3 linked regions of the Caenorhabditis elegans genome follow. The protein of the gene in region 1 interacts with the protein of each later gene in a pairwise test. Each region holds a gene or a part of one and is shown on either strand. Other genes may lie near its edges. The genes, in order: C09G1.4, F57C9.4 and T04C9.1.

Region 1 (4,939 bases):
GCATAGATGGTCCTATCAGATTTTTTTTGTGGCGAAATAATTTAACATCTTACTATTAGTTCTGTTAATCGGAACGCATTTATTACAAGTTTTCCGACAAATTGAAAAGTATTTTTTTACCCATTATCTATTACCCGTTGCATAAATTATCAATCTTTAGTTTTGTTCGCTATTTTCAGTATTCTTCTTCTTTCTTTTTCTCCCCATTTTTTCGCGATAGATTTATGTGTTTCCTGATACATCACGTACATCCTGCTGCTTCGGCTCGCACAAAAAGAGAAGTTCGTCGCTTAAGAGTAAGTACATCATTCACTAAGGCATCACAACCATCTGGCGAGATTAAACATGTGTTTAACGAGAGGGGGACGGGATGGAACCCTAACTTTTGACGTGTGTGTGTGTCTACCGCCATTCGGGTGTTAGATTACCAAGCAATAATGCAAATGGGTTTGGCGGTTCAGATACTGATCATAAGTGAGTCACATTTTTGGTATTGCGGTAGTTTTTGAAGTTTAGAATTTTGAAGTTAAATTTTTCATAGTCCTCTTTATAGTCATTACCCTCAATTTAAAATTAAAACCCAATGACAATCACGAAAAAGTTTGCAATACCAGTGGTTTTATTAAACATAAATATTAGGGCTTTCATGCAGGCGACGTCTGCCTCGTGCCGCGAGCCGCGCCTCCTGCTTAGTGCTGCGCGGAACCCGAAAAGTGTCGGCCGCTTCCATGGAGGTCCTAATAGTTATCATCAAAAGCTTTTGGGGTCTCTTCTGAACAATCTCGCCATTTCTATGTTTTCGCCAAAAAATCCTAGTTCTATGTAATGTTTACACTGTATTCAAGTTCGTTTTTTTTCACTTTTCCAGAACATTCCTTGCTTTTCTTCTGTACACCCACTCTTCTATTTTTTTTCTTGTTATCACATTGTTCTGAACGACTGCATTGTGTGTTGTATGACCTTTTCCTTTTCGTGATCAATCCGTCCCTGGGGACAGTTCTATTAGGTCGGTGTGCCCACGAATGGTGTGCATTCTAGAGATAGTAGTGAAGAAAAACTGTTTTTTTTTTGCTTCAAGTTCGAATGCCGAAGTTGGTGTTCAAACATTGAATTGTCAATGGGGACACAAGTTGTTTTTTGTTTTTTTTTAATAGAAAGTTTTAGGTGCATTGTTTGGTTATTTTGGAAGAAAGCTGTATTTTTGAAAGCGTGCTCTTAATCTTTTTTTCCGATGCTCTTTCAATCAGTTTCCTTACTCATCATAGTAAAATCCGATATTTCTAACAATACGAGGGTAGCTATTTTTCACTATTTAAAGATTAAAGGGTCAAAGGACGATCCGTTCTCCAAGTGCTATGCACTGCGGATCTGGGACTCAGGTACACTGCCTGGTGGTGATCCCACTGGGTTGTAATTTAAGCCACGTCCGAGCCGGGGACTGTGGCCGATAATCCAGTCTTGGATTGCTCCACTTCCCAATAGGGGCTGGGTGAACCTAGGAAGTGAGGCCGGACTTGAACTCGTGACCTCCAGATTGCTAGCGGCCACCACTACCGACTGAGCTATTTGCCCCCTTATATATTTAATTACTCTTGATCAAAACACACCTAAAACTTCCAAGACGTCAGTACGTGCACCAGTGCCAGTCACGATTGTGTCCACTTTACATATATATCCAATTAACAGTGTCACTTTTCACATCTTTACGTCCATCTCGCTTTTTTTTCGCCTTCTTTTTTTCCCCTACTTTTCCGCAGCCCCCAAAAATTGAGAACATACCTTAACTAGGCCGATTATATCCCATCAGGTCTTTGATGTTATCATTTGTTTCTTTACCTCTGATATGTTATCTTTTTTTTCAAATTGTTCTCTTATAAACTTACAATTTTCAGAGACACAAATCACAATGTCTTCTGGAAATCGGCAGGCTCCAATGCCCCCACCAAAACCTCGAAATTTGGGGCGTGGCCAGTTTTATCAACAAGGAGGTACGTCATAATTATTTCTCACTTTTTTTTCCAAATTCAAAATTAATTTCTTCTTTTTTGCACCAGTCATTCAGTATTCGCTCGTCATCTACAAATAGAAAAGGGAAAAATTATGAATTTTCAATAGACGTACCTTTTTTTGAATACGTGTCTTTTTCGCAAAAAATGTTTTTTTTCTGTGATTTGTTTCTAATATTTTTTGTAAGAGCAAAGTTATTACCTACCATATGCCTAAAATAAATGTGGAATACTAGATTTCGAACATGGTGCATCGACTGGAAAATGTTTTTGGCGCTTGTTGCTTAAAAAACAGGTTACAAATATTTATTCACGTTTTTTTTGGAACATTTACTATGTAATACATAATTTCTTTTAACCGTTTGAACAATTTTTTTCCTGTTTTTTGCTCTAGTCATTTAGTATTCGTTCATCATGAATTATTTCCGAGCTAAAAGAGGCAAATTATGAATTTTTCAAAAACGTACTTTTTCGAATGCAGTGGTGTAGCCATTTTTGCACAATTATGTTTTTTACATGTTTCTATGAGTTCAGTTCAGCCACAGTTTATGGATACAGATATTCATAATATGAAAGATATTTTAAACACGTAACTACTTCTGGAGTTTTTTTTTTTTTATTTTTGTTTAGAATTGTGAATATGCTCCGAAATCGGTCTTTGCAGAATTTTCAAAGTAACATATTAAAAAATTATGAACATTATATTTTTTTCGGTAAAATGTTTGGTATTTTTTAACGGAATGTTTTAAAAAATTGCAAAATTTTTTCGCTATTTTTCTTTAAAAGTGGAGTAGCGCCAGTGGGAAAGTTGTTAAAAACCACTCCTTTGGTCCCAAAATGACCACATATCATAATGAAACTTATTTATTGTCAAAAAGTGACAATTACTCAGTTTTTGCCAATCATAATTTTGGAAGTCGACCAAAAAAATGTTTCTACATTTTTTATACAGTAATTATTTGGATTAAAACATTGTAGGGCCCGGAACATGTGAAATTGCTTTGGATTTCTTCAAAAGCTCTTATTTTTCAAAATTCTGAAAATTTGCCAAAGTTTAACCGGAAATTATGAAAAGCCTGAAATTTTTTGAATTGTATTATTAAGATATTTGGTCTTTTTAGATCATAATGAGTGTCTACTCCATGTTTAAATAATACCCGTTTTTGCCTATTCCCCAAAACTCCAGTGGCCATTAATAGTCTGCAAGAACTAATTTCGGAAAATTTAGATCTGAAAGTCATTGAAACAAAACAAACTCTATTAAAATTTTAGGAGCGCATTTCCGCTATTTAAAACTTTTCAATCGTCTCTGTGAAATAAATGTTTTCAAATTAGGTAAAACGTTAGGTAAGTCTTGAGTAATTCTTAGTTAGTGTTGAAAACGTTAGTGTAGAAAAAATTTTTTTTGGAGCAATTGAATTTAACTGCTAAATTGTGCGTTTGTATTCCAAAATTTTGAAGCGAATCTAACAGATATTTGATCTCTGGCTTTCAATTGCAAAGTAATTCTCCCTTTTTTGTCGCTCACCACAAAGCGTCAAGTTTTCTCAGTTTCAGTGTAACATGCCATACACACCAAAACGACAAGCTTTTCAAAATAAGAAAAACGGAAAGTGAGCAAGTGACGCGGCGCGCGGTCAGCGTTTTTTTTTGTAACCCATCTCAAATGCCAAGTCTCTGTGTTCGTGGACCTTTTCAAGCGAGACTATGTCTGTGTATGTGTGTGTGCCTTTTTCATTTTTGCTCCCGAAGAGCCCAGTACTACACATTCAGAACTTTTACACTTCTAGCTCGGCACCATGTGCTGATCTTGGTCCAACAAACCCCAACAAAAGTGCGTTCTGCGTTTTGCCCGCAACCCATTCCTGCTTATTGCATTTTGAGGAAGAGCATTCAGACAGCGCCCATGATGCAGAATATTTGCGCGTTTTTTTTGAGTGTGTAAACGGAGAGCCCATTCTGAAAATAATCATTGGTTGCTGAAGAGGGCAAAGAATCGTAGCGCTACCAGTGTTTACTTGAGCTTGATCTTGGAATTTTGATTGGAACCTTTTTGATTTGAAATATAATTTTTGAACAGTATACTGAAAAAGTATGAAGCTCAACTGAAGCATATTGAGCTGAAAAAAGTAAATCTGAAATGTTCAGCACTTTTTTTCTACTTCCGATGTCTTTAAAATTGCTTTAAAAATATACTTACAGTCAACCATTTTAGAAATGCAAAACAATTTTTTCACTGATTTGTTTGATAAAAAAAACCACGTGGGGTCAAAGTGTCCCATGTTGGTTTGATCTTCAAAAAATGCGGGAGAACTTTTCCCCTGATTTCGTATGGCTAACCATGTGTGCTGACGTCACATTTTTCTGAAAAAAAAATTCCCGCCGATTTTGTAGATCAAACTGTATTAGGACAGCCTGACACCATTTGAAAATGATGCAAAAGATTTTCAGATCGGCTTCAAAGAGCTTCAGTTTTTCTTCAGACTTCAGACTTTCAAAGATATAGGCATTCCCAGTGCTCCTCGAGAGCATGCCTCACTTCTCCGTGTGGTCGAACCGAACCACTTCAACCCTTAACAGGCACGAGGGAGTGGACGAAAAAAAAAAAACGAAAGAAAAATGTGCCAAAACTTTTTTTTAGTGAGGGATGGGGTGTTGCACTCTCGTTTTGCCGTCCTCTTTCTTCTCCCCTGCTCTCTACTCTTCGGTAGATGTCATCAATAATTCTGTCCAAACATGCTTTAAACTCATTGTTCTTCCTCTCCTGATCCCCTTGTTGCTGCCGCCACCAAAAAACGTCACGTTCCACTTCTTCTTCCTCTCCTGCTGCTACTTTTTGCAGTTTCTTTTCGCCTATACATTTTCATTTTTTTGTCGGCGGTTACTACCGCTCCAGCTCCTACTTCCATTTTTTTCATTTTCATTTTATCTCA
Region 2 (7,888 bases), on another chromosome or scaffold:
AATTAATTTTCTAATGTTTATAGGTCGTCAAGAAGTACGTATGGACGAAGATGTGGCAAACGAATCAATTCGTTGTAATCCAAGTATGGCCAGTGAAATGATGGTTCTGCAGTCCGAATATAATGTATTGATTGCTGATAATGATGAAGTTCCAATGGTTGTTGAAAGGGAACGTTCTCCAATAGTGAAAGCTGCAAAGAAACGTTCAACGAGAGCTCCCGCTGTCCCGATAACTCCAACGGAACCGGCTTCTCCCGTGGAGTCCCCGGTGAAAGAGCAACCTCAAAAAGCGCCAAAAGCTCAGATGAGACGTTCCAGTAAACGCACCACGAAGAACAATGAACGATGCGAACAGAAAGAAGAAGAACCAATAGTGAACCCAAAAAGGGTAATTATTTTTATTGTTATAATAAAAATGTTAAGTTCAATAATTTACAGAGAAGTGCTCGTCGGCTTGTACCTCCAGTTGAAGTCGATGAACAGCCAGAAGAACAAAATGATGATGATGCTCAGAATTCTCTTCAAATTGACTCTGATGCTCAGAATTCTCTTCAAATTGACTCTGATGCTATTATCACCTCTCCCGAGAAGAGAAATGAATCAAAGTCTGCAATACCTGAGGAAGCTGCGGATCTAGATAATACTACATCTGAGAAGCAGGAGAGCTCAACAGCAAGATATGGCGTTTCAAATACTTCTATTAACAGGAAAAAACCAGACCCAGTTGCAAATCCGGTTTCGGAAGAGGCTCAGGTAGATTTGGCGAACGGTAGTATCCCGGATAAAAGACCACGGAAGAGAAAATATGGACGAGTGTCGAGTATTCTCGACGTCGCTGATCTGCCAACTGACGATACAGTGGAGGAAGACGTTCGTGAAAGTCCCATCTACGGTCGTGTACCAAGTATATTGGATGTAGCAAGGGCTGAGGAGAACGATGCTCAAAATGATGCTCAAGATGCTCAAAATGAAATTGCTGTTGAGGGACTTGCCGACTTATCAATTGACACCGAGCAGCATGAAGAAGCAGCTCCAATTAATGTTACTGGTCATCAATCGGAGAGCGTTCCAATCATTGTGACGGAGCATCAGTCTGAAGAAGCTCAAACGGTTGTCACGGAGCAACCAGCAGGAGCAGCTTCAGTTATTGCTGCGGAGAGACACTACGGCCGAGTTTCGAGTATTCTCGATGTAGCTGGTTCGTTCGCTGACGTAGATCCATCAGGTGCCGCTCCAGCTATTGCCACAGAGAGACACTACGGCCGAGTTTCGAGTATTCTTGATGTAGCTGGTTCGTTAAGTGACGTAGATCCACAGGAAGATACCGAAAGCTCCACTCAAAACCAATCGACTTCCAAGAAATTCAAACCAAACCCTCCAAAGGCAATGAGGTACGGCCAGTCGCCGAACATGCCAAGTAGAAGAGGAAACTGAACGATTTCTGGACAATCGTGTACAATTATCAATCTGTTCCATTTTTTTGTTGTTTCTTCGATTTCCTTTTTAATAGTTGGACAAATGCCTTAGTTTTCGAATGAATTTTTTAAATATTAATTTTCATATCCGATGATGATGGGAATTTGTTAAAATACAAAATATTACTTGCATGTGATGAAATATTTAGAGCTATTCAAGTATTTTCCAGCGTTTCAGAATTCTTTCGTTGGCGTTCTTTTTTGAACATAGCGCCGTTTTCTTTCTCAAAGGAGCGCGGTGACATACACTTGTTTCCCTTTTTTCAGTGGCCGTTCGCTCTTTACTCTAATCGATTTCACTTTGGCATTCTGTTCTTATTCCAGCTAAAGTTTTTAAGAATTGTGTTTTTTTAATGAATTTCTCTTTTTGGGTTCTATTTAGTTCGCCACATTTTGAAAAAAATCAACGTTTTTCAGGATAAATGACATCATTAATCGATTCGAGGGTGCTCTACGAGAGTGATTTTTCCATTTTCAACGGTCGACTATGTTCTCTACGCATATCAGCTGTTACCAATAATGAAGAGGGTATTGAAAAAGTGAGATTAATTGGAGATATATTGATTTTTAAATAAAAATAATTAATTTTCAGATTCGAATAACGTCTCCTTCCGATGCTACAATTTTGCTAGATACATCGATCAGTTCTGACGAGTGTTCCAGTTTTATTGAAATTTTGAAAGAAATCTCCACGGCACGGAAAAGCGATCCATCGATTTTAGGACCACGGATTGAAACAATACATTCGGAAAATGAATATCCATTTCAAATGGTTATTGAACCGATTAACAGAGAAAAACATTCGGGAAAAACTCTTCCACTTTCTCATCCACCACCACAGGAACGATGTGATTATGTTCTTCAATTATATGCAAAAGAAAAAGTAAAACTAAATGGTCAGGATTTAATGAAAAAAAAAAAATTTCAGGTACAACACCAAAGCCAAAAAACAAAAGTGGAAGAGTTGACGAAGCAACTTCAACAAGCCAGAGTTGATTATAACACAGTGAGTTTGTGTTGTCAAAATATAGAAAATATTTTGATTCATATGGAAAATAAAAAAAAGCAATCGGCAACTTTCAGCCCATTTTTCCAATGTTCCAGTTGAAAAAAAAATTATTTTCAGATAATTTAAGTGATTTTCTATTATTTTAGACACTAATTTTCATTTAAAAATATTGGAAAACATGCCATTTTGTAGAATTGCCGCCCGCGAATAATTTTTTACAATTCTACAAAATAGCATGTTGCACCATGTTTTTCTTAAAAAATTATCGAGTTTTTTATATTTTATTTTTTAGAACTTTATTCGGTGCTTACGTTAAAAATAAATTTATTTTAAGATGAATCAAGTGGTCAAAAAAAACATATTCTGACATTAATTTTCAATGAATAAAAAAACAAAATCTTTTAATTTCTTCAAAACCGCCAAAAATATTGTATTTTCGCTTCTGAATTCAGATCTGAAAAGTACTAATTAATGAAATAATTAATCAATAACCCTATCTTTTCCAGCTAAAACAACGATGTGACTTTCAAGAAAAAGAAATTGCACTTCTCCGGCAGATTACAAGTTCCACAGGATCTGGAAATCGAAAAAGAAGTCGTGACGATTCTGAAACTACGCATATAAAAAAGCGAAGATGTGGATGTGGAGATGATGGAGAATCGTGTGGTTCTGATTGTGATGGAATGGATGATGATGAAGAAGATGAGACTGATACAGATGTTCAAATGTTTCGAGCAGCCACAGCTCAATTGCAAATGGCTGCAGCAGGAAGGAATACTCAAAATGGTAAGTATTTTGTCTGAACATTGACGAAATCTTCGCGTCGGTTTTCGATTCGCGGTTTTTTCTCTATTTTATTTTTAAAATTAATATTCTTCCCGTTTTTAATAATTCTCTCTGTGCTTTCCCTGTGTAAATATTTTCGTATTGACTTTTCGGTCAAGAAAATGAATTTTCAAAAAAAAACCACAAATTTTCAGACTAGTGACAGGAAATCGATGATGCGAAAATAAAAACAGGGAAGATACGGAAAGAATTGTTTAAAAACGCTGATGTAGGAACACGGACCACGTAACGAATATTTTAATCCAAAAATTTTCAGGCACCTCTTCACATCAAAAACTGAAACGAAAAATTCCAAAAAGTCAGTCGGTTTCTATTGGAAATGCTCGTGGAATGGTCACACTTCCCAACTTATTGCAACCAAAATTAGAAGAAAGTGACGACGGATATAATTATTCTGGACGAAGCTCGACTCAATCAAATATTGGTATAATGGTTTTTTTTTGAAAATTTCAAAAATTCGTACAATTTCCAGACAAGCTGGAGTTGGCGGTTCGTCGGGAGAGTATAGTAGACATCGGAAGAGCCGTCATTGATGGTATAAAAAACAAAACTCTAACTGAAAATCAATTGGAGGTACAGCTTAAAACTTTGAAAATTAAAAATTAGAAAGATTTTTTATAGGAATTTTGCAAAACCACTCACAGACCTAACATCTCAATTTTCCGATTCTACAAAGATTCGGAAGAATGCACCAAAGAGGAAAATGAAGCAATTATGATGGGACAAACTGTTATGGTAATTCGAATTTTTGCTGAAAAAATCTCAAATATGAATATTCTAGATGAAAATGTTGGATCCACAAGAAAAAGCAATCGCCGGAGTTCAAGCATCAATCAGCTCACTTTCAGCAAGTTTTGCGAATCAGACCAAGCTTGGACTGATCAAGCATCAGAGGCTTACTCGTTCATATGTGACTCTGCCTGTTGACTATTTCCCTTCAATCGATCTAACGGAAGCCTATAACTCATCTAATCTCTTCGGAGCCGACGCTACAATGCAGCTCACCAACTTCTACCAAACTGTGCTCAAAAACGTACGGCCTAGTTGCTCAATTCGAATTTTAAAGTATCCTTCAGGTTTTAAATCCGGTTTATATGATCTGGATCTACACATACCGGCCATCAACTGTCAGAACTTGTGACAAACATTTTGTGGAATTCCCTCAAAACGTCATTACCACGTTATTTGGTACTTGTTACAGAAATTCGAATTAATTTTCTGAAACTAATTGAATTTCAGATATGACTACCGATATTGTAGGCCTCTACCTTCCTGAATACTTACTCGACGGTGAAATTGACCCCATGGACCCGTAAGAAATTCAAACAAGTAATTTTAAATTTATTCTTAATTATATTCAGATTTCTTCTAACAATTGATGCTGTCGATCCATTTGAAGAGATTATGAGACGTCGTACCGAAAGAAAATTGGCAAACACTACATTCAATCATGCTCTTGGAAGAGCAATGTGAGGGAATCGTATTACGGGAACACAAAATCCTGAGAATGCGCATTGCGCAACATAATTGATGCGCAAAATATGTCGTAGCGAAAACTACAATAGTTCTTTAAATGACTACTGTAACGCTTGTATCGATTTACGAGCTCAATTTTCGAAATCATTTATTTTTCGATAAAATATTAAAATTAGGAAAAACGATAAAATAATACGAATAAACAAAGGAAAATATACTATCGCTGTCACTATTCAAAAATAAATTTCAAAAATCGAGCCCGTAATTCGCCACACTCACTACAGTAGTCATTTACCGAATTCCTGTAGTTTTAGATATTGTGTGCGTCAAATAGGTTGCGCAATACGCATTCCCAGAAATTTGTGTTCCCGGGAATTCCCGTAATAACCATTGTTCCGTGTTTAATTTAAATTTCAAACAGGAAAAATCTGCGGAGCTACCATTACGATCCAACAAGAGGTATTCTGTTGAATTGCAGTGAAAAGAAGAACTGCGGAATGCATTTACAATGGGAACAAATGCGAAAGTTCCGGGAGTACTGTAGGAAGGAAAATGTTGCCTGTGATGATGCGACTCCGGAAGAAATGATTGCTTTGTTAGTTTCGTCGAATTAAGGAATTTTATTAATTCAGGAATTTTCAGCAATCTCCGTGCATCTAAAGTACATTACGAAGACTATAGCCCTGGTGATGCATCTACATCGTTGAATAATATTAACCCGGCAACAGAAACTTAATTGATAATTTCTAAATTATTTTGTTTTTCACTTCACTTATTTACATCTCTTCTTAATTGTACGGTCTCGAGAATAAAAATTTTATTTCTGGTTTTAAAGGAATGAAATTTAGTGAAAATAAAAGAAACAAAAATTGAGTAGTTGCAAAATATTTAATTTTTAGGTAATGTTTCATCGGAAGAAGGAAATAAAAATGAAATGCCAAATTTTATGGAACAACTCGAGAAGTTTTCCAGTGTTATTGTAAAAGGTAAAGCTTTTTTGAGAGAAATAATTTCTAAAATTCAAAATTTGCAGGTCCAAACCTTCCATCAACCTCTACAATGAGCACAATGCACATAAAAATGGAAAATGGAAAAGAGCAATCAGGCCCTCTTCTACTACGAAATTCACCGAATGATCAAAATCAGAAAGTCGTTGGAGTTGTTCAATACGTAATATGTCAACTGTGTCCAGAAGAAGAACAAAAATCGATGGATTTATCGAATCAGAAGCAAATGGAAGAACATTTTCTGAATAAGCATGTTGATAAGGAGAAAAAGAAATGCGAAGCTTGTCCGTCGGATCAGTTTCAGCCACATAATATTGGACAACATTATCGATTGCATACAAATAGGTGAGAATTAGAACTGGCGTTTTTTTGGTTTTTTGATGTTTTTCATGTTTTTGAGAGAAAATCGAAAATCAAAAAATTGAAAAACGAAAATTTTCGATGTTTTTTTTTCGAAAAATCGAAAAAAAATGTACAGAAAATTAACCATATTTTTAAAATCCAATTCAGTTTATATTGATGAGAAAAAACATTAAAATTTCATCTAAAAGAAGAAAAAGACCAAAGTTTTAATCAAATTTTTAAAAATTCGGAAAAATGTCGGAAATATCGAAAAACGAAAAACTTTTGATTTTTCGTTTTTTTCAATCGAAAATGTTTTTGTAAAAAATTAGTTTTTATCAAAAAATCTAAAATTTTCCGTTCTTCGATTTTTCGGAAAAAATCGGAAAAAAAGACAGCTCTGGTGAGAATACAGATTTTTTGTTTTAAATTAAAATTTTAAATTAATATATTTCAGTGTATTTGCATGCGAGCATTGCGGCAAACGAGGACGTCGGAATTTTTTGAAGACCCACATTCGAACACACACTGGTGAAAGACCATACAGAGTGAGTTATACATTTGAAAATATGCTTCCCAAATATAGATCGATCAGGGAATTTTTTATTGATAAAATGTTATTTTTAAAGTTTTGTAAATTTTTCAAAAATTTTGGAATAAAAGGCTAAAAAAGGCTACAATTTAGTTAGATCCAAAGTTTTGCAGACAATGATTATCACAAAGAAAATTCGACAAAAAAAACAAAAATCGAATTTCTCAAAAAAAAAACCTTTCAATTTTTTCTTTTACAATTAAATATTAAAATTTTTTTTTACAAAATAAAATTTAAGTTGTTTAAAAAAAAAACAACATTGTTGACATTTTTGAAAAAAAAGGTTCTTACTACAATACCACTTCCAAGGCGCACTCCGTTGTATTTTGAATCGCCTTCCTGTGAAAAAAAAATTCAAAATTCTCTCTCGTATTTCAGTGTGACACATGTTCGAAATCGTTCACCGATGCCTCAACACTGCGTCGCCACGGACTTGTGCACACTGGTGAAAAGAAATATCAATGCCCGGTGTGTGGACGAGCGATTGCACGGAAAGATAACGTTAAAGCTCACATTCGAAGTCACGGAATTCAAATTTAACGCTTTTTTATTGTCTATCGAGGTATTTTTTGAGTGGAAGCGTTGCTTTTTTTGTTTTTTGGAAAATATGTAATAAATGTATTTGCACCATCACTTGTTTTTTCTTGTTCGTTTTTTGGTTTTTGCACCCTTATTAATGTCTCTAGTTCCTACAGGCATGCTTTTTTATCTAATCTAATCAAAATTTTGGAATTTTATTTGGTTTTTTGCCCAAAATCACCAAAAACGGTGCAATAAAACGAAAAGTTTTTGAAATTTCCTAAGTTTTAGTGTTTTTACAATTTTTGAAATTTAGAAATATTCGGCCATTTGGAATTTTTTTTTGCGAAATTACAAAAAAAATAATTTTAAAAATTTAGAAAAATTTTATAAATTTTTACAGTTATTTTTCAGTATATTGAGACTGTTCTCTGACATTTTTGACAAAAAAAACCTACAGACGCCGTTAAAATCGAATTTTTGCAAAAATTTTTTAAAAAAAGTTGTTTAGGATTTAAAACTTGAAATTAATTTAAAATTATCAAATTTAAAACATTTAAACTAATTTACATATCTGGCAAAATAATGTATATAAAAATTTTTTGAGAAAATTTTAATGCAA
Region 3 (4,801 bases), on another chromosome or scaffold:
GCGCAGCATCATTCAAAAAACACCTGATCTTTCACTACAAAATGAAATAACCGACTCGTTCGTTTCAACTTTGTTACTACTTTTTTCTATCTTTTTCTGCTTTTCATTCTCTTCAATTTTTCGCGGTCCCATCTCTTCCGCTTGTGACGTCGTCAACTTCTTCTTCTTCCCCTACTTCTTCCTCCGTCGCCGCTGTCGTCGTTTTTCTTTCCTCTTCATAATCGCTTTCCGTCGACCACTCGAATATTCTGACGTTCGCCGTGCCGCGACTCATCCGTTCGTTTCTATGATTCGAATTTTTTGAGAAAAACTAGAAAGCGTTGATATTGTCAAGTGTTTCGTTTTAGGATATATTCTAAAGACGAAAGGACGGATGCAAGTGTGTGTATGTATTTGTGCCATTGCAATGACGAGAGCGGAGCAAAGAAAATGACGAAGAAGAAGAAGCAGTCCTTCTCTTCGCTCATTCTTCTACTGCTCGTTCTTCCCATATATACTCATTCCCCCCGGAGAATTGTTCTTTTCCGCATTGCTGCTTCCCGTTGCCGCTGTCGTCGTCCGCCTTTCCTTTCGATTCGAATCGGATCGACAAGTTCCAGACGGCAAGAGTCATCCCTTCCATCCATAAACGCCATCACTGTCGTCGTCGTCGTCGCCTTCTTCTTTGAAAAAATGAGAAAAGCTAGAAAAAATGACGAATTGTGTTGGAGTCCTCGTCCTTCTCCTCTGCCTCTCCTTCTTTGGCGATGGCACACAACAGCATGGCCACAACACAAATAACGCGATAACTTTGTTTCGGCTCCTATACAAATTTGGTTATTTTTGTTGGTCGCTCCAACATTTTTTTCGTCCTCATCCGAGCCATGACTTCTCTTCTCCTTTTCCTCTATTTCGTCTCAAACTTCCGTTCTTTTTTACCTAATCATCATTATTAGCCCCATCCTTATCATCTTCTGGAACCCACATCGTCATCTTCGGTTTCTTTCTTTTTGAGGCACAAGCAACAACTACTTTTCTCGCATCTTCTCTCCTCCAGCTTCTCTTCTTTATGAGCCGGGTTAGGGGCTCTTCGAAAATTGTTTCCACTCGGCTGCCTTCGTGTTTTCGACGTGCCCGAACTTGCTCAAAACCGAAGCTCACGCATCGTTAGGTAACGAAAGAATTACACGTAGGAGGGACGCACTGCCGTTTGATTCTTATCTGTCATCGTCAGGATTGTTGCAACCTCTTCAATCCTCCGGATGTGCGTTGATTCCCGCACGATTAGACAATTTGTTGTGAAGGTGTACGCTATGTTTTGTCGTAAAATAGGTCACACTTGGAAGTTTTATTTTGGCAGCTTCATAATTATTCTAATTTATGATGTGATGGATTTTCTTTTTATATTTCATTTATCTGATTACCTTTCTCATTTTCCATATCAATTCTTGCTCGGTTCATCAGCTAATTCCATTGGTAGTGTCAGAATTCATGTAGCAGATAGATAGATACTCATAGATATTCCTTCGTCGCCTCAAGTATCAAGTTTCTTGCTTCTTTTTCTTCTTCTTCTTCTCTTCGCTTGTCCATATCCCCCGCGAGTTCTTCTTTCCTTTTCTTTTAATTGTTTACTTCTTCTCCTCATTCTACTCATCTTTTCCTTCATGTTTCAGAAAAAATTGTGGTATTTTGAGACAATTTTTTCTTTTCATTTCTCTATGTTTGCCTATCACTGAGGCTTTTTCTCTTGAAAATCTCTGCAAATCATTCCAATCAAAAATAATTTCAGGACACCTTGTCCAGTAGACAAAACCCGTCTACTTAGGACTCTGCGCTCATCACAAATGGTGTTACGGGCGCTCGAGTTTTCGGACTCGATATCCGATTCTCCGTGGTTTCGACAAAATTTGCATGATCACGAAGTGGCACTGGACGACGCTTTCAAGAACATCAAGCTCATTGAGAATCAGTGCAAGGAGCTGATTGCGTGCACAAAAAGTATGTGGCTTTTCTCTCTTTTTGACCCTTTACTTTTCCATTTAATCGCGTGGAATTTATAATTATTTTTATTGCAGAGCTTTCAACAGCACAACGAGCATTCGCAAAGACGTTAAGTGAATTCAAGTTTGAAACAGTCGGAACAAATCAGACAGATGATGAACGGTTTATTGGTGAGACTTTTGTTTAGCAAAAATTTATATAAAAAAATACGCGATGTTAAAAAAAAAAGTACAAAACATTTTTATTTTAAAAAAATTTCGCAGTAAAAAAATTAATTTCGGAATTTTATTATCCAGCCAAGAAAAATCGAAATTTGCTGAAAACATGTTTTTAAATGTTTTAAAATTATTAAATTTCAATTTTTTTTAATTTACCATAGTTAAAAAAAAATTTTAAACATTTTTAGGAATAGCAAAAAAGAGTATTTTGCCGTAGCAACCGTTCATTTTTGCCAAATTTTTCAAAGTCATATTTTTTACAATAAAAAAATAGTGTTGAACTCTCTTTTAAAATTTTTTTAATTGTCTCGAATTTCAATATTCCAACAAAGACCTTCGAAATCTGAATTGTTCGTGAAATTTTGAAATTTTTATAAGTTTCCTTCAATAAAAAAATTCGTTTCAGTTTTTTCTCCCAAAAAATCTATCGAAAGTTAACAAAATCCAAATTGCAAGTGATTCTCATTGTAATTTACCAAAATGCTTAATTTTCATAAATATTTTTATTGTCTTTGAAATAATATTTCACATTTTCAGCCACATGTCTAAAAGAATTCGGAAGTCTGATCAATCAAGTCGAAGATGAACGAATGAAACTTGTTGGACAAGCTGAAGAAAGTTATTTGGAACCAATAAAAAAGTTTCGAACTGAGGCGATTGGTAGAACATTGAAAGAGGAAAAGAATAAATATGACAAAGAAAGTAGCAAGTTCTATCAAACACTTGAAAAACATCTTCATCTGAGTACTGTTCGTAATAACGATTTTCGAGCCGCTGATGCCCAATTGGAGACTCAACAGAAAAACTTTTTTCAAGCTTCGTTACAGGTTTGAGTTTATAAAGTTGTCTTCAAATTATAAAATTGGAAAAAATTTGTGTTTTAATTTTCAGAATTAATGAAATTTTGGCCATTTTCTATTTTTAGACTAAAATTTCTTTCTAAATTTTTTTTTGGAAAATCGAAGGAATTTTGGTTTTTCGAATTAAAAAAAATCAACAAAAAAAATTTTTTTTCTGAAATATTGCGAATTTAAAATTTCTTTCAAAAAAAAAAAAACTTTCTGCCTTTTCAGAATTTAAAAAAATCAAAAGTTTTCGTTTTTAGTTTTTCTAAATAGTGTAATTCAAGTTTTTAAGAATTTGCCGTTGGAAATAGTACAATATAAATTGCTATTTTCAGTTAAAAAGTATATTCAACATAATTTCTCAAAAATAAAAAATAAAAAAAATTTACAGTATGTGGCAGAAGTTCAATCAGTTCAAGAACGAATGCGGTTCGAGTTTGTCGAAACATTAGGATCTTATGTTTATTCGTGGCTTTCATTTTTTCATGTTGGTAAGTATTTGTACAGGTAAAAAAAAGTTTCTGAATGATTATACAAATTTTATAAATTTGAATATTTTTCACAAAAAAAAATAGAAATTACTTGAAAAATCAGATTTTCGACAACTTTGTCTCGATTATAATTTTGAAAATAAAACTAACTATTTTAAATCACAAACTTTTCTATTTCACTTACAGAAATTCGGATTTCATGTAAAATTTCGACCAGAATGAAAAAAAAATTAAAAATTAAACAAAAATATATTTTTTCATTTTTTTTCTATAAATTATCGAAATATCATCGAAAATGAAGAAAAAAAAATCAAACTACTCACAAAAAGGCATTATTATTTTTAAATTTGGTTTCCAGACACATCATTTTTTTTTGCATTTTTCTAAAACTTTTTCCTGTTTCAGGTAGTGTGATTCATCAAGATTTCAAACCATTCCTTGACAATGTACAAACAAAAGTTCAAAAGGTTAGTTTAAAAAACTCTCCCCGTCAGATCGAAATTTTATCGAATTTCAGACAAAGGAAAATTATAATGCAACGAATGCTGAGGCAGAAGAGCTTAAGAAAAAACTGTTGGCTTCTCATACAAAAGTAAGTTTTTTCATACTTTGGAATTTCATATTCATCGCAAATTTTTATTGAAATTACAGCCGGGTTCTGAAGATCGACGACCGACGCCATCAATTAAACAAGGATACGTGTATATGCAGGAAAAGAGCAAAATTCCGAGTAAGTTTCTATATACAAAATTTGGTTTATTAAAAAAATTCAAAATGAAAAAATGCATCTGAAAGTTCTCGATTTTAGAAAAAATCAACCAGAAAATTATTATTTTATGAATAAAATATTCGGTTTTCACAAAATGAGAGCCTCTTTTAAAAATTAAAATTTTTCGTTCGATTTTGTTATTTTTTATAAAAATCTAACTAATATTTTCAAAAAATAAATTACCAGTTTCAATTGTGAAAATCTTTTCCAAAAATTATTTTCAATTTTTCAATTGGCCTGAAATTTGAAAATTTCACTAAAAAAATTACTGAAATGTGGTTTTAAATTTAGAAAAAAATAAAATGATAGTAAAGAAAACAAGAGACTTAACAGTTTTGTAGCGTTACAGTAACCACTTTGAAAGATAATTCACAATTAATTTTGCAAAATTAGGACAAAAATTTTCGATGATAAAAAAATTAATTTTAAGACTTTTGAAAGTCGATAATTATAAATCGCTATAAGAATACAAAATCGTGATTTTTTCAAAATAATTAC

The links.
Region 2: the proteins of C09G1.4 (region 1) and F57C9.4 interact in a two-hybrid assay, tested with the Caenorhabditis elegans proteins (2 studies listed by BioGRID).
Region 3: the proteins of C09G1.4 (region 1) and T04C9.1 interact in a two-hybrid assay, tested with the Caenorhabditis elegans proteins (2 studies listed by BioGRID).

Annotation. Positions count from the first base shown.
Region 1 is NC_003284.9:15,993,889-15,998,827, reverse strand, and holds the start of C09G1.4 (uncharacterized protein), read left to right. Parts: upstream 1-1,890; 5' UTR 1,891-1,906; coding exon 1,907-1,988; intron 1,989-4,389; exon of another isoform or gene 4,390-4,613; intron 4,614-4,939.
Region 2 is NC_003279.8:4,828,243-4,836,130, forward strand, and holds F57C9.4 (C2H2-type domain-containing protein), read left to right. Parts: upstream 1-1,897; coding exon 1,898-2,014; intron 2,015-2,067; coding exon 2,068-2,358; intron 2,359-2,403; coding exon 2,404-2,481; intron 2,482-2,990; coding exon 2,991-3,270; intron 3,271-3,586; coding exon 3,587-3,754; intron 3,755-3,802; coding exon 3,803-3,903; intron 3,904-3,951; coding exon 3,952-4,065; intron 4,066-4,111; coding exon 4,112-4,363; intron 4,364-4,406; coding exon 4,407-4,518; intron 4,519-4,569; coding exon 4,570-4,642; intron 4,643-4,691; coding exon 4,692-4,799; intron 4,800-5,227; coding exon 5,228-5,401; intron 5,402-5,448; coding exon 5,449-5,492; coding exon of another isoform or gene 5,493-5,542; exon of another isoform or gene 5,543-5,705; coding exon 5,706-5,792; intron 5,793-5,839; coding exon 5,840-6,158; intron 6,159-6,612; coding exon 6,613-6,703; intron 6,704-7,125; coding exon 7,126-7,287; 3' UTR 7,288-7,380; downstream 7,381-7,888. Other genes in the region: htp-3 (HORMA domain-containing protein), read left to right, coding at 24-388, 439-1,434.
Region 3 is NC_003281.10:5,991,451-5,996,251, forward strand, and holds the start of T04C9.1 (Rho GTPase-activating protein 26), read left to right. Parts: upstream 1-1,768; 5' UTR 1,769-1,823; coding exon 1,824-1,977; intron 1,978-2,054; coding exon 2,055-2,150; intron 2,151-2,735; coding exon 2,736-3,025; intron 3,026-3,434; coding exon 3,435-3,534; intron 3,535-3,939; coding exon 3,940-4,001; intron 4,002-4,051; coding exon 4,052-4,126; intron 4,127-4,185; coding exon 4,186-4,264; intron 4,265-4,801. Other genes in the region: T04C9.2 (uncharacterized protein), read left to right, coding at 430-780.